3 linked regions of the Drosophila melanogaster genome follow. The protein of the gene in region 3 purifies or fractionates together with the protein of the main gene of each other region. This does not show direct contact. Each region holds a gene or a part of one and is shown on either strand. Other genes may lie near its edges.

Region 1 (7,573 bases), on a different chromosome or scaffold from region 3:
TAAAACATTTGTTTGGTAAAAAGTGCACATACAGCTATGTACCCTGTACGCTCCATGTAGTCGTTCATAACGTGCATTCACCGTATCAACTTTGGCGGGCGCGTTTCGCTGTGAATGGCCAGTGGCCGTGGACGCTTAAATTCAGCTGTTTGAATCTTCTGCAACAACCGAAGTGATTGTTTTATCGAATTAGCCATGAAAACTGAGTCCAACGAGAAGTGGGTGGTGTGCCGCGTTTGCCTGAACAATCCCAGCGAGGGCGAGGAGCTGCTCCACGACATATTCAGCGAAACGGCAAGCACGCGACTGGACCAAATGCTGCACATTTGCGCAGGCATTCCAGTAAGTGTGAATCCTGCTTGGTTTGCCCATTTTAAATTATTCCAACCCAAACAGGTCAGCCTAGATGACAACTTCCCGGACAAGATGTGCAGCAAGTGCGTGCGCTGCCTGCGGCTCTGCTACAAGTTCCGTCTGACATGCCAGCGATCCCATCAGCACATTATGGACATGCTGGACCGGGAGGCCAGCAATGCTAACGCCGCCGGCGAAGGGGATTTGCTTAGCATCGCGGAGGACCTTTCGGTGGAGAGCGTACTGAAGTCGTGGGAGGACTACGCCAGTCAGCTGGATGGCGGCATGAAAGTGGAGGGCGAGGAGGATCAGCAACATCAGGTTATCACCTATGTCGTGGAGGATGGTGATACTGATGATACCAATATGTTCGATGTGCACGATCCCACGCAGCCGGTGCCAAATGAGATCGAGGAGGCTGAAACCTATGCTGAATACGAGGAATACGAACTGCTCACCAACGAAAACTCGCCGGAAATCGCACAGGAAAAAGGCTCCACCGGCACAGATGTTGCCACAGAGGAGCCGCCCGAAGAAGAAATTGCTGAAGACATACTCGACTCTGACGAAGATTATGACCCAACTCATGCTAAGCCGGAAAAATGCGACCGATCGGGCAGGAAGCCAGTTGCATACCACAAGAATAGCCCAAAAGTGGAAACCTTCAAAAAGAAGGTGGGCAGAAAGCCGCGCAACAAGCTGAGCACATACATCTGCGATGTGTGCGGAAATATCTATCCGACTCAGGCGCGTCTCACCGAGCACATGAAATTCCATTCTGGTGTTAAACCACACGAGTGCGAGTAGGTTTAAAAGTTGAAAGTAAATAGTAACTATGGCTAATAGGATGTTATTATAGGATCTGCGGAAGAGGCTTTGTGCAGAATCAACAGCTGGTACGGCACATGAACACTCACACGGGGAACCGACCATACAAGTGCAACTACTGTCCAGCTGCCTTCGCCGATCGATCCACGAAAACCAAACATCATAGGTGAGAAATATTCGAAACAGTTGAAAGTAAATTAAACTGACATTATTTCTCTCCAGAATTCACACTAAGGAGCGTCCCTACGTGTGCGACGTTTGCTCCAGAACGTTTACCTACTCGGACAACCTGAAGTTCCACAAGATGATTCACACGGGGGAGAAGCCGCATGTGTAAGCATCAACATATTTTACTACTTCATTATCCTGCAATAATAGCTATTCTCTTTCAGCTGTGATCTTTGTGGCAAAGGATTTGTGAAGGCCTACAAATTGCGTTTGCATCGGGAAACGCATAATAGACGTATCACCTGGAGAAATGACGCAGAAGAGAGCACCAAAGCAGAAGATGTCAAGGGGGAAACGCCGGAGTTTCTCAATGAACTCCCCAAAGAGTGACATGTTCTTTTTAGTTCTTATGCAAAGTTTAGTCTAAGTATTTAGTAAGCCGTTGTTTAAGTTCTTCCATTAAGCAAATAAATGTACACAGGATATATTTTTTTGTACAATTTGTTTTTTACTTCTTATAAAAAATTAAATAAGGAAAAATGACAAATTTTAATGGCGGTGCCCTATGGCTTAGAACTTATCCATTAATATATTGTACAATTTTCAACGAGAAACTTATTTAATTTGCACCTCAATGTTTCCTCTTAGTCACTGCAATCATTTCACCTCTTTCGTCCTTTTGTGTGACTTTTCGTGGCTGTTTTTGTGGTGCAGCTGGGAGAAGGACTTCTGGCAGTACTGGCAGCTAAATGGTCGTTCACCGGTATGGGTTTTCAGATGAACCCGGAGGACGTTGGAGTAGCCAAAGGACCTGCTGCAGAACTCGCATTTGTACGGTCGTTCGTTGGTGTGGATCCTAAAGTGTATTTAACGTTAGAAACTTCCGTGGATGTCTTAAGATTTAGATTTGAAGTAACTTTTATCAAGACTTGTTAACAATTAATTGACATTAAAGCTGATTAACAGAAATATATCTCTTTTATTCTAGTTATGACAGCCCTATATGTTTTTACCTACCTCTGATGCTTAATGCGAGTGGAGGGATCGGCGAACCTGGAGTCGCAATAGTCACATTTGTAGGGACGATTACCGGTGTGGGTGTTCATGTGCCTCGCCAACTGCGGAGTCTGGCGAAAACGTTTGTGACAGATTCTACAAGATAATGGGATTATGCGATTATAGGATACGATGGGAACAAATTCAAATCAAAATCTTACTCGCATTCGTGTGGTTTCTTCGCGCTGTGGACTTTCATGTGGTTGGTCAACTTTACGCGCTCTGAGTAGACATTGTTGCAAATGTTGCAGGTAAAGGAAGCAGCCTGTCCGGAGTCCTCGTCTTCAAAAGTTACCGGTTTGGGACTAAGTGAATAGACAGATTCCTCTGGAGCGGAGATGGCAGGCTCTATGCTGACCAATTCATCGGCACTACAGGCCACATCCTCGCTGCTCTCCAGCGTTACATCGTATGAGTCTAGGTACTCGTACTCCAACTCGCTGTCGCTACCGGTAGCCTCATTCTTGGACAGGTCTCTTGATTCAGTTTTCTTCTTCGTCTCCTGCTCATCGTGAACAATCTCTATGTTTATCTCCTGCAGCTTCTGCTCCTTCAGATCCTTCTCCGTCTGCTGGCAAAGGGATCTGAGTTTGAGGGCAGCTCTGAGCAGCAGGGCGCAGCTGGTGCAGATGCGATTGGGCCAGTCGGGACTCTCACTCAACTGTGGGTAGGTTTTTAATGGGTAATATAGATCATAATATAGATATTCAAAAACCCACTTCAACTCCTGTGCAGCGTTTGATTTTATCTGGAAAATCGGGCTCCGTGGGCATGAGAGACTCATCCTTAGGCTGCACCAAGCAGATGCGACACTTAAGGTCCCTGCTATCCACGTTGGTATGCATTCTTCTGTTATTGTAGGTACAAATTCCGAAATATTTAATTTTTGTTTGTTTACTGACCAAACAATTAAAATTTGTGCGGCTCCGGGGCGAATGGCAATCGGCCCTTCGATAAATATCGGTGACTGGCCAAACAGCGAAGAGGAAGCAGAGTTATTTTGATCGTTAATTTTTGTCGGCCAACTCGTTTGGTTCAAATGGAGATACGATTGAACATGATGACCCTGTGCAGGACTTGCCTGCAGGATGGCGAAGCCCACATGGTGTCTATTTTCCAGACAGCGGACGATAGGCTGCCCGGTGGCGTATCCCTCTGTGACAAAATCGAAAGTTTGAGTGGAATTCAGGTGGGATCCTTTCGTTTTCCTTGATATTTCTAATTAATTTCAAGTAATATCTCATCCATAGATAAGGGCAACGGCAAAGGAGGAAGTGCTGCCCACCAGAATCTGCCTCAGATGCAAGGCATTTCTAACTCTGGCCCACAAATTTCGACAGATATGCCAGCGCTCCAATGAATTTCTCCGGGAATACGTGATAAAGGATGCAGTCGAGCAAGGGGTAGTCAAGGAGGTGGTGCAGCAAACGCGACCTTCAACTCCGCCACCGATAGAGACTGAGCAGCTTGAACCACCAGAGGATGAGGTGCTTGAAGAGGGAGTTTGGTCTACGGAAGATCCCATTGAAGAAACGCCACATGGCCCGGCGGAAAAGGAAAGGCCCACAGTTCTAACGGTGGAAATGCTTCCTGCTCCTTATCCTCCGCCTGCATCTACTCCTCCACCTGCTCCTGCTGGTGCCGTCAAGGGTAAATTGCATGTGTGCGCTATCTGTGGCAATGGATATCCCAGGAAGAGCACGCTGGACACCCACATGCGAAGGCATAACGATGAGCGGCCTTACGAGTGCGAGTAGGTGTACTTACCACTTTTTTGTGTATATAAATGTCTCAGTCATGTGGCTCTTTTTAGGATTTGCCACAAGAGCTTCCACGTCAACTACCAGCTGAAGCGCCACATCCGGCAGCACACGGGAGCTAAACCATATACCTGCCAATATTGCCAACGCAACTTCGCGGATCGCACTTCCCTAGTTAAGCATGAAAGGTAAGCAAAGAATACATAATTATTCCAGTAAAAACATTTCTGTATCTTTTGGAACCTCTATTAATTAACTACAAGTAGAGACTAGCTAATTAATTGTATTTCCTCCACAGAACCCATCGAAATGAGCGTCCTTATGCCTGCAAGACCTGCGGAAAGAAGTTCACATATGCCAGTGTCCTTAAAATGCACTACAAGACGCACACGGGCGAAAAACCCCACATGTAAGTGGTTTCGGTTTTAAACTAAATCAAACCTAAAACTTATCACGTTGCTATTATTACTTCAGATGCCAACTCTGCAACAAAAGCTTCGCTCGCATTCACAATCTCGTGGCGCATCTGCAAACGCAACAGCATATAAATGATCCACGACTGACTGCCTATCTAAGTACCTTTAAAGTGGGGATTACTGTAGCTAATGCTTAATAATATAATATTTATAAGATCGCGACATTTTACCTTTGCTTAAAGCCTAAAACTTTGTATATACGACCTTTGTTATATAAAGTTTGCTAGAAAGATTTCATGAAACTAACTAAAAAGCATTCTAAAAAAAAAAACAAACTGTTTACATTTTTACAATTTATTCTTTTACTTGACTTACTTGCAAAGCGGTACGCAATCTTTTTTCTTTGTTTTGTTCTTTTCTAATTTTTGTTTTACAAAATTTTACAACTTTTATGTGTTGTACGAGGGAAATGCCGAAAAGTGATTGATAAGTGCTGACTTGGCGCTGGTGTTCGAGATAATTGTAGTGTAGGAGGATTATGAGGTCGGTTGTATCCGTTAACAAAATTAAATAACAAACTATGAACTTGGATTGTGTGGGGGCAACGATGACCGGACTGGCTGGCTGATGGCCTTTGCACAGCAAAGAAGCATCTACTTGGCCACCATGCGTATCTTGTCCTTCAGCAGATTGCGCAGCTCGGTGACCATCAGCTCGTGCGAGTCCTTAAAGGTGGCCGAAACGTCGCCGATGAGCGTGGCTTCCACCTCCGGCTTCAGCGACATGTCAGACATAAAGGAGCTGAGGTCGCGTGGCAAAACGGGCGCCTTCCAGGAGCCTAAGGATTGCAGAATCATACCTTAGTTTATCTTTGGGCGATTTGTCTAGAGCCACTTACGTATGGCCGTGTCGCAGGCCTCAAACTTGTGCTTCAGCTGTCGCATCAGCTCCTGCAACATCTGGCTGCGCTCCTTCTCGCTGATCGGCTGCGGTCCATCCACCTTGTTTTCCACCGGCTTCTTCTTGGTCTTGGTCTTTGAGCTTACCTGCAGCTTGTCGTTCAACACGGACAGAAGGAAGGCGTACAGCGATAGCATCTGGAAAAGTTATAAGAACATTGGTGAATTTAAGATTACCTGCTTTTACTACCAACATTTTACCTCTAAACTGGCTGCCACTTTCTGCTGCTGACCTCGCCGCTTCCACAGACCGTCAATGCCGTTGCTTTCGTTGCTCTCGTTGATGGTCTGCACGCACAGCTCCATAGTCGCAATAACATTGTCACCCACCCGCTTGCACTGCTCGGCCAGCTTTGCCGACCCGCTCTGCAAGTCAAGGACCAACTGGGCAAGGTCGTCAAAGAAACGTTCGTATGGCATGTCGAGCAGCAGGTGAAGACGTGTGGGCAGCAGATTGACTAGAAATTTTTGCGCCAACGGCTTGTAGTTCATCACGCGCAATCTCTGGAATAATCCCGTCCAGGACTCCCGCAGGAGCTCCAAGGTGGCCGTCTCTGCTCCCGCTGGCGAATCCTTTAAGCCCGCGCCGTGGTACAAGTCGATGAAAGAGGCAAAGAGTCGAAGCATCAGCGAACGTACTTGAAGCACCTCAACTTCCTGGTCGAACGACTCCCTGCGCTCCTCCGCAGCGTCTACCTCATGTAGCGGATCCCATCGGATAATGGCCCCTAAGTCGCGATTGTCGCTCAACTCATGCCAAGCGATCCGGTCCTCCGCCGGCTCAATACTCATCGCCACATATGCGGATAGATTCTGCGTGATATTGCCATAGCAACTAACCAAGTCACAGATCTGCGCCTCCACCGAGCAGGCCACGTACTGCAAGCTGTTGGTTAACCGCTCCTTGAAGTTCATGAACTCCTCCATTTTTGAAAACGTGCAAAAGCGATATGTTAACGCAATGTATTCCAGCCTTTCCTTATAGCTGTTCGTAAAAAACTTTAGGGTGGCATCGTACACGTTACGATTGCCCGAGAAGCGACCTCCAAGAGCCAACAGTTGGCAGTGCACATAGCCCATGGAGTCCAGCTGAATCTGCTTAATGTCCAGATACTCATACATCTCCTGTGCGCCCACTTGGCAGCCAAACAGATGGTAGATCTTTAGACTTAGCAGTTTCACGTGGAAGTTACTCGTACTGTTTCGCAGAACATACTGCAGCAGGCACAGCGCCTCGAACAGGTGATCCGACTTATTTTCCCGCCTACTCAGATCGTACATTACATTTGCCGCCAGCAGTGCGTATGCATCCGATGGTCCCATTTCCGTAGCCAGCAACTTCTTACCGAAAGTAGTCCTGCCGTGCTCGTAGTGCAGCTTGAGCGCCGTATAGAAGGCAAGCAGGTGGTCCGCAGGCAGATCCATGTGGGATCCGCACATTCGAGAGATTTGCAGAGCGCAAAGATGTTTTTGCAACTGCTCTTTCTACAATAATCATATACCAACAATCGTTAGACTCAAAGTTGAATTTATAATTTTTGCGTACTTACATTTTTTGGAAGCGACGTGGAGGTTACTCCGCTCTCCAACAACAACTTGCTGGCTAGCGCTTGCCTCTGGTTCATGCTGATCGAAGGCAAGAACAAGGCGATATCGTGAGTGCAGCACGATTTGTCGCCGAACAGACGGAAGTACTCAATGACCATCTCGTCAAAGTCACCGATTAGTTTTTCCGCCGGCAATTGCTCCGCTCGCATGCGTTGGTGTAGCTCCAACCGCGCCAGATAGGGTCCCCTTTTCTTGCGCTCCGAGGAGTCAATGATGCGCTGAAGGAACTCCTGACACCTGGCCAGAGAGTCCTTATCCCCGTTCTCCACGCCCTGCGGCGTAAGTTTTAGCAGCTCGAACGAGCTTTGGATATACTCCTTGTAGAAGTCCCAACGATCACGACTTGGGGATAAAAAATAAAACTTAGAAAACGTAGTTATACATATGAACTTATTGTTTAAGCTCACTCTGCGTCCAGCAGCTG
Region 2 (7,674 bases), on a different chromosome or scaffold from region 3:
TTCTGCTCACGATTAGGATTGAGATACATGGGGAGTACATTGCTATGTATAATGTAGCTGAGTACGAGTATGAGTACAATATTGTAAGAGGTCTAATTTCAACTGGCACCTGCTCTCAGTTTTCTACGGAAAAGCAAGCTCTAAAAGTTGCCTACAATGCTGGGGAACTCATGTGGCATGCAGTTGTATATATGTAGGGGTTTTTGGTTAATGCGATTAACTTTCAGAATTCCTAGACGTACATACATGTGACTGACTGACTGACTGACTACATGATAGATGTGGGTCGTGTGTTTGTGGCTTGTCTACGATTACCTTTCGAAACGAACGAACACAAAATCAACTCATTGGGTGTAACGTCATCTAAACAAATGCCGAGTACTATAAGATGGTGGGTGGGGGGTGGTTTATAAGATGGCTACGGATTTTTGGTTTGAAATGGTCATGATATACACAATCATAATTGTAACACATTCGCTTAGCTGCAAATTGCTTCTGTTCTTGAGTCTGATTTAAATCGAAATCTATGTGTGTCTGTGTGTGTTGTTGGTTGGTTGCTATATACTTATTCTACAGAACGACGTCAGGCAGGTCGTGCGGCCTTGCCTAGGCGCGCATTTGGTTTTCATGTACGATTTTCCTTTCCTTATAGTAGATCTCCTCCGACTCCTTGTCGCAGAGCAGCAGGACAACGGCCCCAAATAGAAAGATGGCCGCACCCCAGCCGACGCCATAGGCCCAGCCAAATTCCCAGACTCGTCGATTGGCTATAACATTAAATGGAATACAAGTCAGTGGAAAGAAGTTCAACATCAAGGTTTCAGGCTACCATACCCATGGTTAGTTCGCCGGCAAAGCATACTGGATATACGATCAAGGCGGACAATACGGCCAGCACTGCGAAAAAGTTATATTTAACATGTGATTCTGACATAAGTTCAGCTAGTTACTCACAGGATACAAGCATCACCAATACTGCTATACGATAGAACTTATACTTTAGATTATGATTCTGCGTCCGGAGGCCCAGACCTGTCAGTACTGTGGCAATGACGTCCGTTATCAGCGTGATGATGCACAGAGCGGCTGTGGCCTTAATGTAGCCTAAGGGACATTATACGAATTATATGTTAAATTCGAGCTTAAGATTGCTGTTTCTTCATGCAATACATACCGACATCGCGGGTCCAGTAGCATCCTGGCGGATCCTGGATATTGAATGGCAGCGGCGGCACCGAATCATCCTCGATGCAGTGCACAAAGAGACCTTGCCGCCAGTCTGAGGCCATTAACCAATCTGTGGACGCCAGAGCCATAATCATGAGGGCCACCACGATGACGCCGCAGATAAATGCAATCACCTGTGAGGGCAGAGAAATCAGTCGGTGCAATCTGTAAACGTTTCCGAAACTTTAGGCCAAATGCATACCTTCAGCGGCCTCGTGATTGTGATGGTCTCAATCGTCGTGGTCGGCGCCATTTTCTCCGCTGGTGGACGTAGAACACTGCGCGCATGATAATTGTGATTAATTGCGGGGGTAGGGGTATTTTTACCGGCTTATTAGGCCAGCCAAACTCACCTTATCGACTATGTATATGCAGGCAATGTGCTGCCCGCAGCTACTAATTGGAATGCGTTTCAATGCGTTTCTTGGTTAGTTTTGCTTAGTGGGATGTTGGAAGGGTTTCTTTTCTTTTCTTTTTGTTTTTTTTTACTTTTTTGGGGCAGGCAAGTAAATGCTACGCCGGTTGGCTTTAACAATCTAATATAAATGCTTCAATTGGCGTTTTATTGCTTTTGGTTTGCGCGCTAAGGTTTATCCAATGCGTTTTCAATTTCAAATTGCTGGCGGAAGCAGCCCGTTCAACATCTGTATTGTCAAAGAGGGGGGATTTGTTTGTTAGCGGGACGGGAAATAGAGAAATTGGTGACATTCGATTAGACCGACTGGCGCACATGGTTTGTACAACATGATTGTTTACATCAAGACAGTTAAGTAAGCAGCAGCAACATGCAAAAACAACTCGAGCAACAATATCGACAAAGACAATGGCTAACTATTATGGGGTTTATTCCAATCGAACTGCATCAACGCGACAATTAAAACTACGGTAGTGCTCAAATTTTTAGGTTTTTAACTATTATCATTCTATTATCATGTGTAATGAACAACAACTATTGAACTTTAGATTTAGCATTGATATGCAAAAAAAATAGGATCAGAATTTGGTTGAGAGCAGAATAAACTTTAGCTATACTATTTTGACCAGAATTGTAGACATCAATGTAGTATGTATGTTTTGTATTAACTGACGCAATTTACAAAACAATGCGTTGGTACAGTTGAATGAGTTTGGGATTGTTTAAATTGAAATCGCTCTATTGTGCCAGACAAAAACGCGACGGAATATTTCAGTCATCATTGGGGGGCGTATTTTGGCTCAATGACAAAAGACGGAAGCTGGGGTGATGAGGTGCAGTCCCCACATAAATTATGCTGCAAGGCGGACTGCAACTAAGCATTTTGAATGCTGGAAATACCGACATGCTAATTATCCATTCGCATTCCATTGTTATACCCTAACTGAGAGTACAATAGAATAGGTCAGACTTGTGACAATTTATGTACGTTTGTAAAAAAAATATCAGCATCTTGAAATGAAATTTTGAACAAATATTATAAAACAGAGTCTTCTTATTATCGATCTTGCTCAATAGTTGCTAACAAATAGGAAGTGTATCAAAATTTCGTTAAAACTGCATATTATGCCTAATTCGCACGATTCCCTGCCAATTTTAATATCTTCAGATACGCAAACAAAGATGCATATGTTTGTGTAAGTAGATGTTGCGTCTAATGTATCTCAAGATATTTCGACGGGCTAGACGGAGATAAATATAGTTTTACATATAGCGGCTAGAAATGTGGAATAAAAACAAAAACACATTTCGCAGATGAGCGAGTACCGACTTTGTGTGTGTGAGTGTGTGTGTGTGAATGAGTGGCATGGCAACAGGATCATAACGGTTAATTGCTATATAGAACGTAACGGTAACGGCAGGCAAAATTGGGGCAAACGGCCAAATGCAAAACAACAACAATGGCAAGGGCGAGGGAATTCGTATACACGTATGTTTATATATGTGTGTGTGTGTGTTGTGTGCTATGCGGAAGAACGGAAGCAAAACAAAATGCGATCTGTTTGAGTTCAGGAATATACCTTTCCTTGTAATAGTCCAGGGTTACCGATTCGGAATCAAATTCTGAATAATCTGGCAGCGATTCGGCATCAAAGGAGCTCATTCCGCTGAGCGTGTAATTGGGCAAGACGTTCATTTTGTTGTTGTAGCCAACAAGGTTACCCTGCTGCTGTTGTTGTTGCTGCTGCTGGTACTGCTGATGCATAGTTGTTGCTGTTTTTTCTACGTTTATTTTACTATATTTGCCTTATTTAACAATATGGCACACGCACACACACTCACGCCCAGGAGAAACTGGCTGCTATATTTTTTCTCTATTCTCTTTTCGCTGCCTTTTCACACTCTCGCCGTCTGCTTTGCACTTTCGCAAAAATATGCGTCGGTTTTGGGTTCAACCTGTATGCACTTACACTCTGCTTGAAAAGCTCTGTCGCTTTTCCACTTTCACATGTTCCTCGACCACTGACTTTTCTATATAATCAAAAAATAAAAACGACGAAAATAATAATGTTTTGCTTCCCTCATAGAGCTGGAACTTAAATCGATGTTGTCTCGATACTATCGTTTTGGCTGGGCATTTCTCGATAGCGATAAAGTGCCATGGAACTATCAGTTAATTTACATTTACCGTCAAATTATTTAATTTAACGAAGAAAGGAAATTAAAATAGCTTACATTTCGGATGTTTAAACTTTTATCAAAGCGGGGGCTGTGCTTTATAAAAATTTCCTAACAGTGAGGGAGAGACACTATCTGTCACATGTTATATCGGGCATGTAAACAACGCAATCTGATAATATATATATATTGCTGTATTAAGACCAACCAGAGTAGAGTAAAAATTAAGAAATCAGTACGTTTAATTATTTTATTGTAAGACTTAAGGTCAAAAGAGTTGTTGGAATGCAAAATGCAAACTTTGAAGTTTTAATTAACACGGAATTCAAACAAATAATCAATTATTATAAAGATATTTTTAAGTGAATAAAATTTTAATTATTGCTTAAGCATATTAATCACTGTGCTTGGCGCTTTTGTAACGGTTTTACGATGTATATCGCAATGACCACTTCCACTGACACGAAAAATAACGAAATCAGTGTGACCGTTTTCCACCGTACGAGAACGTAAGAAATCGGCGTCGCGTGGCTTGGACAGAGATTATCGAACAAAACAAAATCCGACTACAGAATCTTTTAACTTCGTTTACCCTTAAGAGTCCGCGGTGGATCCGAGGAATCGATGGCTACGGACACGGTGTCCAACGGCGAGAACTTCGCCCAGCACTTGAGCAGAAACAGCGACGACGACGTGATCTGTCCCACATGCGACGTGAAGATCAAGCGCAGTCAGGTGGCCGATCACTGCCAAGTGGAGATGGAGCGATTGCACAATCCCATTAGCGCTGTCACTCCACCGACCCCAACTAGCGGAGCAACCGCGTCCGAGGAATCCGGTTCGGTATCGGGGGGCAGACAACCGTGGAGCGTGTTCCAGCGGGTGCAGCGCAATCGGCAGGCCCGTCAGCGCCAGCGCACCAGGAAGCGTCCGGCTTCTCCTGCCCCACCAGCAACTGTAAATCCTACGGTAGCAGCTGCTCCTCCTCCAGCTGCAGCAACTCCGTCCGTAGCTGCTGCCGAATCGAGCCAACCCACCTGTCCCGTGTGCAACCACAACTTTCCGCAGTCCAACATCCAAGAGCATGTTAATCATTGCCTGCGCCAGAGCCGCCGCAATGGTCAGGCCAATGGTGAGCGGCATTCGAGTGAGGACTCGGAGGACAGCGAGGAATATGAAGAGTACGAGTGGGCGGGACAGAAGCGCATTCGCGTCTCCACTCTCGTGCAAGGAGGCTATTCCGCCCTGGGCCTGGGCCAGAGAATCAAATACAATGGCAGTCAGCAGGCGCAGGACGACGAGGACGAAGATCTCAACGTGGACGAGGATGACACTCACATCTATGGTCCTACGCAGTATGGCGAGGGCGATGTGATCCCACTGGTCAACGAGGACACAGAGGGAAATGTTTCCGAGGCGGATGTTACCAGCTACGTGCGCCGACTTATCTCCTCCAGCGATGGGCCCAAGCCAAACCATTCCAGCGAAGCCACCGAGCAAGAGCCTGCCAGCACAAGCAACGTGGAGGCTCCACCAGCCAGCGAGGAGCCGTCTACGTCGCGGTCCACGCGATCCACCTCCCAAAACCAGCAGCAGATCATCGAATCGCTGAAGGCCAAGCTGCGGCTCTACGAAAAGCAGGCGCAGGGCAAGTACAAGTGCCTGATCTGCATCGACGACTACAAGAATCCCGCCATCTCCGTGTCCTGCTGGCACGTCCACTGCGAGCAGTGTTGGTTGCAGACGCTCGGCGCGCGAAAGCTGTGCCCGCAGTGCAACTCGATTACCACGCCGAAGGACCTGCGACGAATCTACCTGTAGACGTCCATCACAGACTTGTTATCCCCGCTGCCAAATTGCTTGCGCCATAAAACAGGCTTTGCATCCCGACGCAGCTTTAGATGATAATCCCCTATACATATTATTTATATAGATTACAAATACCAATTATACTACGTGACATTACAATAAGCCTACCATGTAACTATTGCAATAAACCGCAGAAAACATAATTAATATTTAAGTTTATTTAACGAAATTAGCATGTAGGAAGGGAAAAGCGTTTAAAGACATGCAAACAAGTTATTTTAAATACCTTATTTTGAACTAAAATAAAAAAGCAATCAATCCAATATTATATCCAATATTATTTTCGAATCACAAAAATGATAAATTATTCCACTATAATTTACAAATGTTTCATTTTAAGTAATAAATAAATATTTTTTACTGTGTACCGGTTTGTTTTCATGTTCAGTTATCGATAATATAATGTTTGCGTTAGTGATGAGCAAGTTTTGCCTGGTAGCGGTTCCTCACGCGCTCATCTCTATATCACATTGCTTGGTTTTCTGTTTAATTTTTCCACAATGTCCGGCTCCGGTGGGATTTAATTGGAAAAAGGAGTATTTGATCTGTACGCTAATCCTGTCTTCCTTGCAGGCGCCAATCCCTTTGCCCAGTTCCAGGAGTCATTCACCCAGGACGGCAACGTCTACAAGTATTTTGATCTGCCCTCCATCGACAGCAAATATGGTTGGTAATCGTTATTGTTGTTCGTTATCATTATTGTTGTTATCTTTATGAATATTATTAACCCCCCACAGAGTCACTGCCCTTTTCCATTCGCGTTCTGCTGGAATCAGCGGTGCGCAACTGTGACAACTTTCATGTGCTGGAGAAGGATGTGCAGAGCATCCTGGGATGGACTCCATCGCTGAAGCAGGAAACCAGCGATGTGGAAGTCTCCTTCAAGCCAGCTCGTGTTATATTGCAGGTGTGGATTATTGCATCACATAGATTATGTTTGTATGTGACTTCTTAAGATATTCCCTGCTTTCAGGACTTTACTGGCGTTCCCGCCGTCGTGGATTTTGCTGCCATGCGGGATGCTGTCCGCGAGCTGGGCGGCAATCCTGAGAAAATCAATCCCATCTGCCCTGCCGACCTGGTCATCGACCATTCCGTTCAGGTGGATTTCGTTCGCTCCTCGGACGCATTGACCAAGAACGAGTCACTAGAGTTCCAGCGCAACAAGGAACGATTCACCTTCCTCAAATGGGGAGCTCGCGCTTTTGACAATATGCTAATTGTGCCACCCGGCTCTGGCATTGTGCACCAGGTTAACCTGGAGTATCTGGCCCGAGTGGTTTTCGAAAGCGACAGTTCAGCGGACGGATCTAAGATCCTTTATCCGGATAGCGTTGTGGGCACTGACTCCCACACTACAATGATCAATGGATTAGGTGTTCTCGGCTGGGGTGTTGGCGGTATCGAGGCGGAGGCCGTAATGTTGGGCCAGTCCATTTCCATGCTGTTGCCAGAGGTGATTGGCTACAGGCTGGAGGGCAAACTGGGCCCTCTGGCCACATCCACCGATCTGGTGCTGACCATTACCAAGCATTTGCGTCAGCTTGGTGTCGTCGGCAAGTTCGTGGAGTTTTACGGCCCCGGAGTGGCAGAGCTCAGCATCGCGGATCGCGCCACCATCAGCAACATGTGTCCGGAATATGGAGCCACTGTGGGTTACTTCCCAATCGATGAAAACACGCTGAGTTACATGCGCCAAACCAGTGAGTCAATCTTAAAAATTATCTAAATTTATTACTTGATATCCATGGATGTGGATCATTAGATCGCTCCGAGAAGAAAATCGATATTATCCGGAAGTATTTGAAGGCCACTCGACAACTTCGTGACTATTCCCTTGTGGATCAGGATCCCCAATACACGGAGGTAAGTGAGATTCTGTTTTTCCAATGCAAAGACATACTAACGAATCACTTTTTTACCCTGCAGTCTGTAACTTTGGACTTATCCACCGTGGTGACCTCGGTTTCGGGGCCCAAGCGACC
Region 3 (7,978 bases):
AGGTCCGTGATATTCTCGATTCGATGCACAAGGACTGCAAGATTCCACTGGCCAAGCTTATGGTAGACGGGGGCATGACTGTGAATAATCTGTTCCTGCAGCTTCAATCCGACCTAGTAGGAATTCAAGTACTCCGGGCGAAGATCGCAGAGACAACAGCGCTGGTTAGTACTTTAACTTGTGATGTAAATGCAGCTTCAATAATGCTTCAAAAATGCTTTAGGGAGCTGCAATGGCAGCCTACAAAGCCGTTGAAAACCGATACCAAATGGAGGCTCCACTCTCTAAATCTGGCCCCCGAGAAGCCATAAAGCCATCGATCAGTGCCACCGATCGCAACCTGCGCTACCAAAAGTGGAAAATGGCTATCGATCGTTCACTGAACTGGGAGACTTCGACGCTTCCACAGGGCGAACGGGAGGCCTTTGACGGAGCGTGATCACAGCTAATGTCTGGTAACGTTCATGTTCTTCTATTCGTAAATCAATTGCTTGGTTTTTCGTATTCGAAATTTCCATTTATTACATATACATATAAAAATGTTAATTAAAAACGTAAAGTGTTTTTCTGTGCGCTGTGATGCTCTGGCAGTGTGTTCCGACTACCAGCCGGTCAGTTGATCTACATATTTTCATCAACTATTCCGACGGCAACAGCGATCGCTGCCTGGTCCAACTCGTTGAGCATTACAACGCCCCCGGCCGCCTCGTCGACGGCTACCACGACTGCTGGACCAGCCACGCCTATAGCTGCGGGTGCGACGGCCATACCGGCAGCGAGCTCAGCGTTATTGGGATGCGGATTAGCCACTGCTATAGGGGGAATCGGATTTCCACCTGAAAACGAATTTGGGCTTTAAGGGAGCTGTTACTCTCCGTTTCGAGCCTTACGCACTTGCGTCCAATTCCAGTGGCGGATCTGCATTTGCTTCCGCTAGATTCGTTACAGACTTGGATTTTACACATTGGAAATCAACATGGCGACTCTTTGCTTCCTCCTTCTCCCAGGACATGTGGATGAAAGGTCGCTGCACATAGCTGTAGATGACTTCAGCCCGTCCACCGGGACGCCTTCGGATCTTCTCTTTGTGGGTGGGGTATCCCTCTATGCCACAGCGTATCTTCTTCAGACCGCGATCCTTCATCACCTGTTTGGCCACATCGCGGTTCTCGATGTACTTGAAGAATCGGTGCATGGCAGTGCTGTGCACGGCTGCGTTAGAAATGTTAGTGTTGCTTCCACTTCCGTGATACTAATGCAAACACATTTTTTAAATACACTCACTCTGACAATACTCCTCGCCCATCTGAGGCGGAAACTCTTCATCCCACTCGACCATATCGTCTTCAAGGAGCACCACAACGTGACACTCTCGATCCCCGCGCTGCGCCGAGGCCACCATGAGGGGCAGAATTAGGTCCTCAAGAAAGAGTTCAAATTGTTGTCGCGCTCCTTCGTTGCTAAGCTCGTGGAGAAGGCCTCCTTTATGTCAAACATAACAGAGGGCATGTTACAAGGAAAGAGACGGAAAACAAGCAGAGGTGGCCACAACTAAGGTTCGCCCTGGCAGGAATAGTTCGCGTTATACTCACTTAGGTTCTGGCAGCGCACCGTGGTTGCGTCGAAGGGAATGAGCAGATAATCACAGGCTTCTTTTAGTTCCGGTACCGAAACAGTGGGCGGGCAGCGGATAACACCGCTTTTGTAGTACTCCAGAATGGCTCTGAACACTAAGTGCGAAATGCCGTCGGCAACGTCGTACTCGCCGCGCTCGTTGGTATGAGCGAACTGGAAGCCGGAGCCGAACATCGTGCCAAGCATTGTGGTGGGATGTGCTGTAAGCAGTGATTGCTCCACCGTGAAGCGCACACCGTCCACCAGCATGGTGATCCTTTCGGGAGGGAGCGGCAGGCGGCCCATTCCGGAACCAGTTGCCTGGCAGCTGGGAGATGCTCCGCAAGGGGATTTTATGTCGTGCTTGGGCACAGCACCTCCGCCTGACATATTGTGCTGCGGACGGTTCAGCCGGCTGCGCTCCTTCAGGATGCGCCTCCTCCGCTCCTCGGCTGTTTCGAGAACTTCCTCGCTGCTGTCGCTACTGTACGTGTCCTGCTTCTGGGCAAGGGGCGCCTTGCTACTGATATTGCTACTACTACTGTTCAGACTTGGAGTGTTTGACATGTTTGTTGCGTTTGATGAGCCACTCTTCAAATATTCCAGTACAACACCGTTCCACCGACTTTTCGAGAGAGACAAAGACAATCTGGCAGAGGGCGGTCAAATTAGCGAGGCTCCGTTGAAAAAAAGCCTGCTTATCGCTGCATCAGAGGTCCGATTAAATAGTATTCACGTTACCTTTGTGCGACGCGACTTTTTCCTTTTTACATATAGTTATAAATATACATATTTTTTCTTGTTGGTGCTGGAGATGGGCTCCTGGGTGCGCTCAGTCGATAGTTTTCCTCTGTAATCACAATAACATATTTTTAACCGATATTTATCTTCAATCGCGATGTTTGTTTTCAGCTTATCGGGTTTTTTTTAACGAATAAAAAATTCCTCTCTAAAAAAATAAAAAGATTGTAATTTCATCATTTCGACATTGTTTGTTACATAATTATTAACTTCTATTAAGTTAAGAAAATCTATAATATTTAGAGGTAATAATAAGAAAATTCTTAATTAACATATCTTAACTTAATGGAAATAACTTTTTTTTTCAAATACAAATTAATATGAAAATTCTGTGGAAATTAATTAAATGTTGTTAAAACAAAATACAGCGTTGGGCCGAATGCAACTCTGTATATACCCAAGCTGTGTATCGATACCGACCACCGACTAAATGCACTCGATAGTTTAAATTTGCAACCGTTCATCATGGCGATCTGAGAAAAATAATTTTTGCTCAAAAATAAAATAAATAATCAAAAGAATTGTAATTCCTGCGAACGCAAATGCGATTTTGGGAAACGTGAGTTTGATACGGACGCTTCACGAAATGCGAAGACTGTGAGCGGTCTTCGGTCAGTAACAAGTGCTTGGCGTGTGTGTCTGCGGCGGCAAAAAACCCAAATGTAAAATATATAACAAAATCCCAACTCCCCCAAGAATGGGCAGTGCGAAAGTGGCGCCCTGAGTGGGCGTGTCGCGTGCGGAAGCGCTAGCGACGAGCAGAGTGGCTGTCTAGGTTTGCGGATAGCAATAACAAATAAGTTGTTATAATAAAAGTGTAAAAAAAAGTGCAAAAACTTTGATTGCTTCTGAGTAGTGAAGTGTCGGAGGGGTATGCTGGGTGCCGTGTATAAGCTGGCGGATGCAACACGAACGCCACCTGCTTGCCTCCTGCTTGCACTCACGCGCATAGTAAGCGCGCCCTTAAACGAGCGTGCTATGTGCGAGCGGGAGGGCGCCTGTGGGTTTTGCACCAGTCACCTATTGGCAGCTTGAACGTTTTTCTATATTTTTTGTGTATTTTCGGAAAGCATAGAAAATGTGGACACTTACTGGGAACGCTCCTAATATAAGCGAATAACCCACAAACATATGCCTTCTCTCCCACCAGACTAGCGAATGCTCGTCGAGAATCCAAACCAGTGAGCCAAACGCCAAAGAAAAACTTGCAAAAGTCTGTGGATAAACAACGAACAATAACAAAAGGCAGCAAGCGGAAGGTGGCAGTGGAAGTGGACTAACTCGCCCGTGGAGAAGTGCGGAGCACACAGGACTGCAAAGTGGCGTCGCTACTGGATATTAGGGCTGGGGCAGCAGCGGCGTCCATGTCCACGGGGCACAAAGGGTGGACCACCAAGAATCACGACCGCACCACATCCAGGAGAGCGCAGCAGCAGCAGCCGGTGTGGTGTCGCCAACTGTGGCCTTAAGCATGTAGTAAGTAAATTTGGTTAGTAAATAAATCGCGTGAAATACGTATTGAAGCTGCTTTTGCCTTCTTACTTCTAGGTCTTGCAGCAAAGAACCCGTTCTCTAACAAGCACAAGACACAAGGGACAAGGTACCAATCGAAGCAAAAACACACAAATATCCAATCAACACCAATGAAAAATGTCACAAAGAGGTAAGCGCGGTAATCAGCAGCATCACCAGTCGCACCATCCGCCGCCGCAACAGCATCAGCGCAAGGATGTTGAGCCGCAGCCGCCGCCCACCAAGCGGCGCAAAGGTAGGCCACCTAATGGAGCCACTACGGCAGCAGTAGCTGAAGTGACTGGATCGGGTCCAGCTACAGGATCGGAGCGTGTGCCAGTTCTGCCTTTGTGCAAAAGCAAACATGAAGAGCCAGGGGCGGAAGCGGGGGGAGGAGGACAAGGAAGAGCCGCGGCAGGCGCTACCAGCACTAGCAAATCGAAGTCAACGAAACTGGCAAAGTCGGCAAGCAAGTGCAAGTCGCAGGGGGCGAGTTCTAGTAGCTCCTGGCAGGCGCGGTCTGTAGCGGACATCAAGATGTCGAGCATCTACAATCGAAGCTCAACGGAAGCTCCAGCTGAACTTTACCGGTATTAACAGACCAGCAAACCAATTAGAAACGATTCAATAATATTCAAATTTTAATTGCAGCAAGGATCTCATTAGCGCAATGAAATTGCCAGACTCTGAGCCGTTGGCCAACTACGAGTATTTAATAGTAACAGACCCATGGAAGCAGGAATGGGAAAAGGGTGTGCAAGTGCCCGTTAACCCAGACTCCCTTCCTGAGCCATGCGTCTATGTTCTGCCCGAGCCTGTTGTGTCTCCAGCGCACGACTTTAAGCTGTAAGTTAATACCTAGCATATTTTTTTTTCGTACTTGTGAATTTCTGTACTGAACTGCGGCTCTCGTTTACAGCCCGAAAAATCGCTATCTGCGCATTACCAAAGACGAGCACTACTCGCCGGATCTGCATTACCTGACGAATGTTGTTGCCTTGGCGGAGAACACATGTGCCTATGATATAGATCCTATTGACGAGGCCTGGTTGCGTCTCTACAACAGCGATCGTGCCCAATGTGGTGCTTTTCCCATAAACGCGACGCAGTTTGAGCGCGTCATTGAGGAGCTAGAGGTAAGCTCACTAGACCCCATGCTGAACCAATATATTGACTTTTGCGTTCTAGGTTCGTTGCTGGGAACAGATTCAAGTCATACTTAAACTGGAAGAAGGCTTGGGCATCGAATTCGATGAGAATGTCATCTGCGATGTTTGCCGATCGCCCGACTCCGAGGAGGCGAACGAAATGGTATTCTGTGATAATTGCAATATCTGTGTGCACCAGGCGTGTTATGGCATTACAGCAATTCCATCAGGTAAGCAGCACCTAGTGGAGTGGAAATGTTAGTGTGCTCATGTAAACTTTTGTTTCAGGACAATGGCTATGCCGCACTTGTTCGATGGGAATTAAGCCGGACTGTGTCCTCTGTCCAAATAAGGGCGGCGCTATGAAATCCAACAAGTCGGGTAAGCACTGGGCACACGTCTCTTGCGCTCTGTGGATACCCGAGGTCAGCATTGGGTGTGTGGATCGCATGGAACCCATCACGAAAATCTCTAGCATTCCTCAGTCGCGTTGGTCCCTGATCTGTGTACTCTGCCGAAAGCGAGTTGGCAGCTGCATCCAGTGCTCAGTAAAGCCCTGCAAAACAGCATACCATGTGACTTGCGCGTTTCAGCATGGCCTGGAAATGCGTGCAATCATAGAGGAAGGTAATGCTGAGGACGGCGTGAAGCTGCGCTCTTATTGTCAGAAACACAGTATGAGCAAGGGTAAGAAGGAAAATGCTGGTAGTCATGGGGGAGGCAGTGCCTCAGTCGCAAGCGCCATGCAGAAAGCAAACAGATACGGCAGTGGGGCTGGTGGAGGAGCCGACGACGGCAACAACGCGTGCGGGACAACTGGAGAGGATCCACGCAGGCGGAAAAATCACCGTAAAACCGAACTGACCTCCGAGGAACGTAACCAAGCCAGAGCTCAGCGCCTCCAGGTTAGTAGTTTCTTTTCCGTTGTGCCTTCTGCATGCATTCGGTTGCTAACTTTTCCCATTGATTTTCAGGAGGTGGAAGCTGAGTTCGATAAGCATGTTAACTTTAATGACATCAGTTGCCATCTATTTGATGTCGACGACGATGCTATTGTTGCCATATACAATTATTGGAAGCTTAAGAGAAAGTCTCGACACAATCGCGAGCTTATCCCGCCCAAGTCCGAAGATGTGGAGATGATAGCCCGCAAGCAGGAGCAACAGGACATGGAAAATCATAAGTTGGTGGTGCATTTGCGACAGGATTTGGAGCGAGTTCGTAATCTCTGCTATATGGTTAGTCGAAGAGAAAAGCTTTCGCGCTCTCTCTTTAAGCTACGTGAGCAGGTATTCTACAAGCAGCTGGGAGTTCTGGATGAGATGCGCTTGGAGAAGCAGCAGACCAAACAAGAGCAGCAACAACCTGTGATGGATCTGAACGCTGTAATCTACGCCAACGACGGACCTACTTTGTATGACCGTTTCTACAGCTCTGTGGGAGGACAAACTGTGCCGGCGCAGTACCAGGATTTGAAATACATCCTTGAACAGCTTATGGGTAAGCTGCAGAGTGGTAAACAGGGCCGTGGCCGTGCCTCGCAGTCTCCTAACAAACGCAAGCAGCCTGCTAAAGCTTCGCCAAACAAGAAGCTTAATAATGGCATTCTTAGTTCACGCACGTCATCGCCTGAGAAGACTGTGGCAGGGAGTAAGGTGGGAACGACTACATCCAAGGTACGGTCTCCGCCAGGGAAGAATCCTACAGGGAGGCGTGCCTCGAAGAGCAGCGCGGCGGCGGCGACGTCGACCCACAACAAAAGTCAATTCCACTCAAATATCCGCAGTAGCACGACCTCCCATTCGTCAAGCGGCACTATATCATCAGGTAATTCCAGCTCGGCGAATGGTACCAGCAGCTCCGATAGTTCCTCAGGAAGTGATTCGGGTAGTGAAAGCGGTAGCTCTAGCGCGGGTAGCGGAGTCTCCAAGCGAAAGTCTTCCTCAGGAAGTCCCCTTAAAAAGCAAAGCTACGCTCGGTCCGTTGAGCAGCGGCAAAAACAGCGACAGCGACGTCAAAATGAAGCAGTTGCGGGTGCGTCTGCAACGTATCCGGATTCCAGGTCTGCAAGCAGCTCCAGCGACGGTGAAGACGAGCGATGTAGAAACCGCCAAGAACCAGAGCGCGGTGCGAGACGGGGGCCAATTCAAAGCAAATCAGTACCTAATAGGAGCCAGGCAAGTAGGTCAAAACCTACAACGGAAGCAGACGTTGGAGAGGGAACTGGAGCCTCTGCAAGACGAAAGTTGTCTACGACAACACGAGGACTTGCCCAAATGGATAAAGATGCCGATGAGAGCGTATCGAGCGACGAAAGTGAGGAATTGTTGCCTCTAAGAGGGGAACGACAGCGTGAGAGCACAACGACTTCCGGACTAGCCACGACTGGTTCGGCCATTGGTAGAAACTTGGGACAGCATATCTACTCCGACTCTGAGAGCAGTTCCTCTGAACAAGAAAAAGACCAGGAGGAGCAGGCCACCGTGGAAAGTAATGTTAGTGACTCACAAAACCAACAGACGATTAGAACAAAGGCAGCTATGAAAGAGTTTGTGCCAGGAACAGCAGCCACAACATCCTCTACTTCCCAAGCAGCGTCCTCAACTAGTAAAGCGAAGAACACGCGGGAAGGAAAGGAAGGGGCTGCCAGTATCGGCAACAGTACAAAAACCAAACCGAACCCGAATGCCAAGTTGTATCCGGCAGATCTTTTGGTGGTGCCACAGCGCCAGGCAGCCAAAAAGGCTTCTGAGAACATGCGATCCACAAATCTCGCCACGACGCTACAGCCAGATGTGTCCGACAGAGTCAGAGAGCCAGACATAAACTCCATTTCAGGAACTGCAAAGAGCAAGGTGAAGGATTCAAGCTCTCGTGTGTCGAATGAAGCGGATAAATCAAGT

Evidence for each region. The genes of interacting proteins can lie anywhere in the genome.
Region 1: the proteins of mri (region 3) and CG4854 purify together in Drosophila melanogaster (affinity purification with mass spectrometry, with the first as the bait; 2 studies listed by BioGRID). This does not show direct contact.
Region 2: the proteins of mri (region 3) and RNF220 purify together in Drosophila melanogaster (affinity purification with western blotting; one study listed by BioGRID). This does not show direct contact.

What each region holds. Positions count from the first base shown.
Region 1 is NT_033777.3:20,023,833-20,031,405, reverse strand, and holds CG4854 (uncharacterized protein), read right to left. Parts: upstream 3,349-7,573; 5' UTR 3,252-3,348; coding exon 3,126-3,251; intron 3,068-3,125; coding exon 2,568-3,067; intron 2,503-2,567; coding exon 2,368-2,502; intron 2,207-2,367; coding exon 2,008-2,206; 3' UTR 1,845-2,007; downstream 1-1,844. Other genes in the region: trem (trade embargo), read left to right, coding at 196-342, 397-1,157, 1,214-1,348, 1,405-1,515, 1,575-1,740; CG4424 (uncharacterized protein), read left to right, coding at 3,446-3,595, 3,657-4,159, 4,220-4,354, 4,465-4,575, 4,641-4,779; psidin (phagocyte signaling impaired), read right to left, coding at 5,236-5,420, 5,481-5,679, 5,743-7,026, 7,092-7,491, 7,557-7,573.
Region 2 is NT_033777.3:22,723,040-22,730,713, reverse strand, and holds RNF220 (ring finger protein 220), read left to right. Parts: upstream 1-4,299; 5' UTR 4,300-4,444; coding exon 4,445-5,641; 3' UTR 5,642-5,830; downstream 5,831-7,674. Other genes in the region: CG45049 (uncharacterized protein), read right to left, coding at 607-767, 835-897, 955-1,104, 1,175-1,361, 1,430-1,505, 3,223-3,407; Irp-1A (iron regulatory protein 1A), read left to right, coding at 6,190-6,202, 6,263-6,355, 6,427-6,596, 6,663-7,392, 7,455-7,555, 7,619-7,674.
Region 3 is NT_037436.4:194,675-202,652, reverse strand, and holds mri (mrityu), read right to left. Parts: upstream 2,480-7,978; 5' UTR 2,182-2,479; coding exon 1,593-2,181; intron 1,483-1,592; coding exon 1,285-1,482; intron 1,213-1,284; coding exon 895-1,212; intron 837-894; coding exon 622-836; 3' UTR 501-621; downstream 1-500. Other genes in the region: Gk1 (glycerol kinase 1), read left to right, coding at 1-164, 224-439; rno (rhinoceros), read left to right, coding at 4,066-4,517, 4,579-4,773, 4,847-5,063, 5,116-5,305, 5,364-5,980, 6,050-7,978.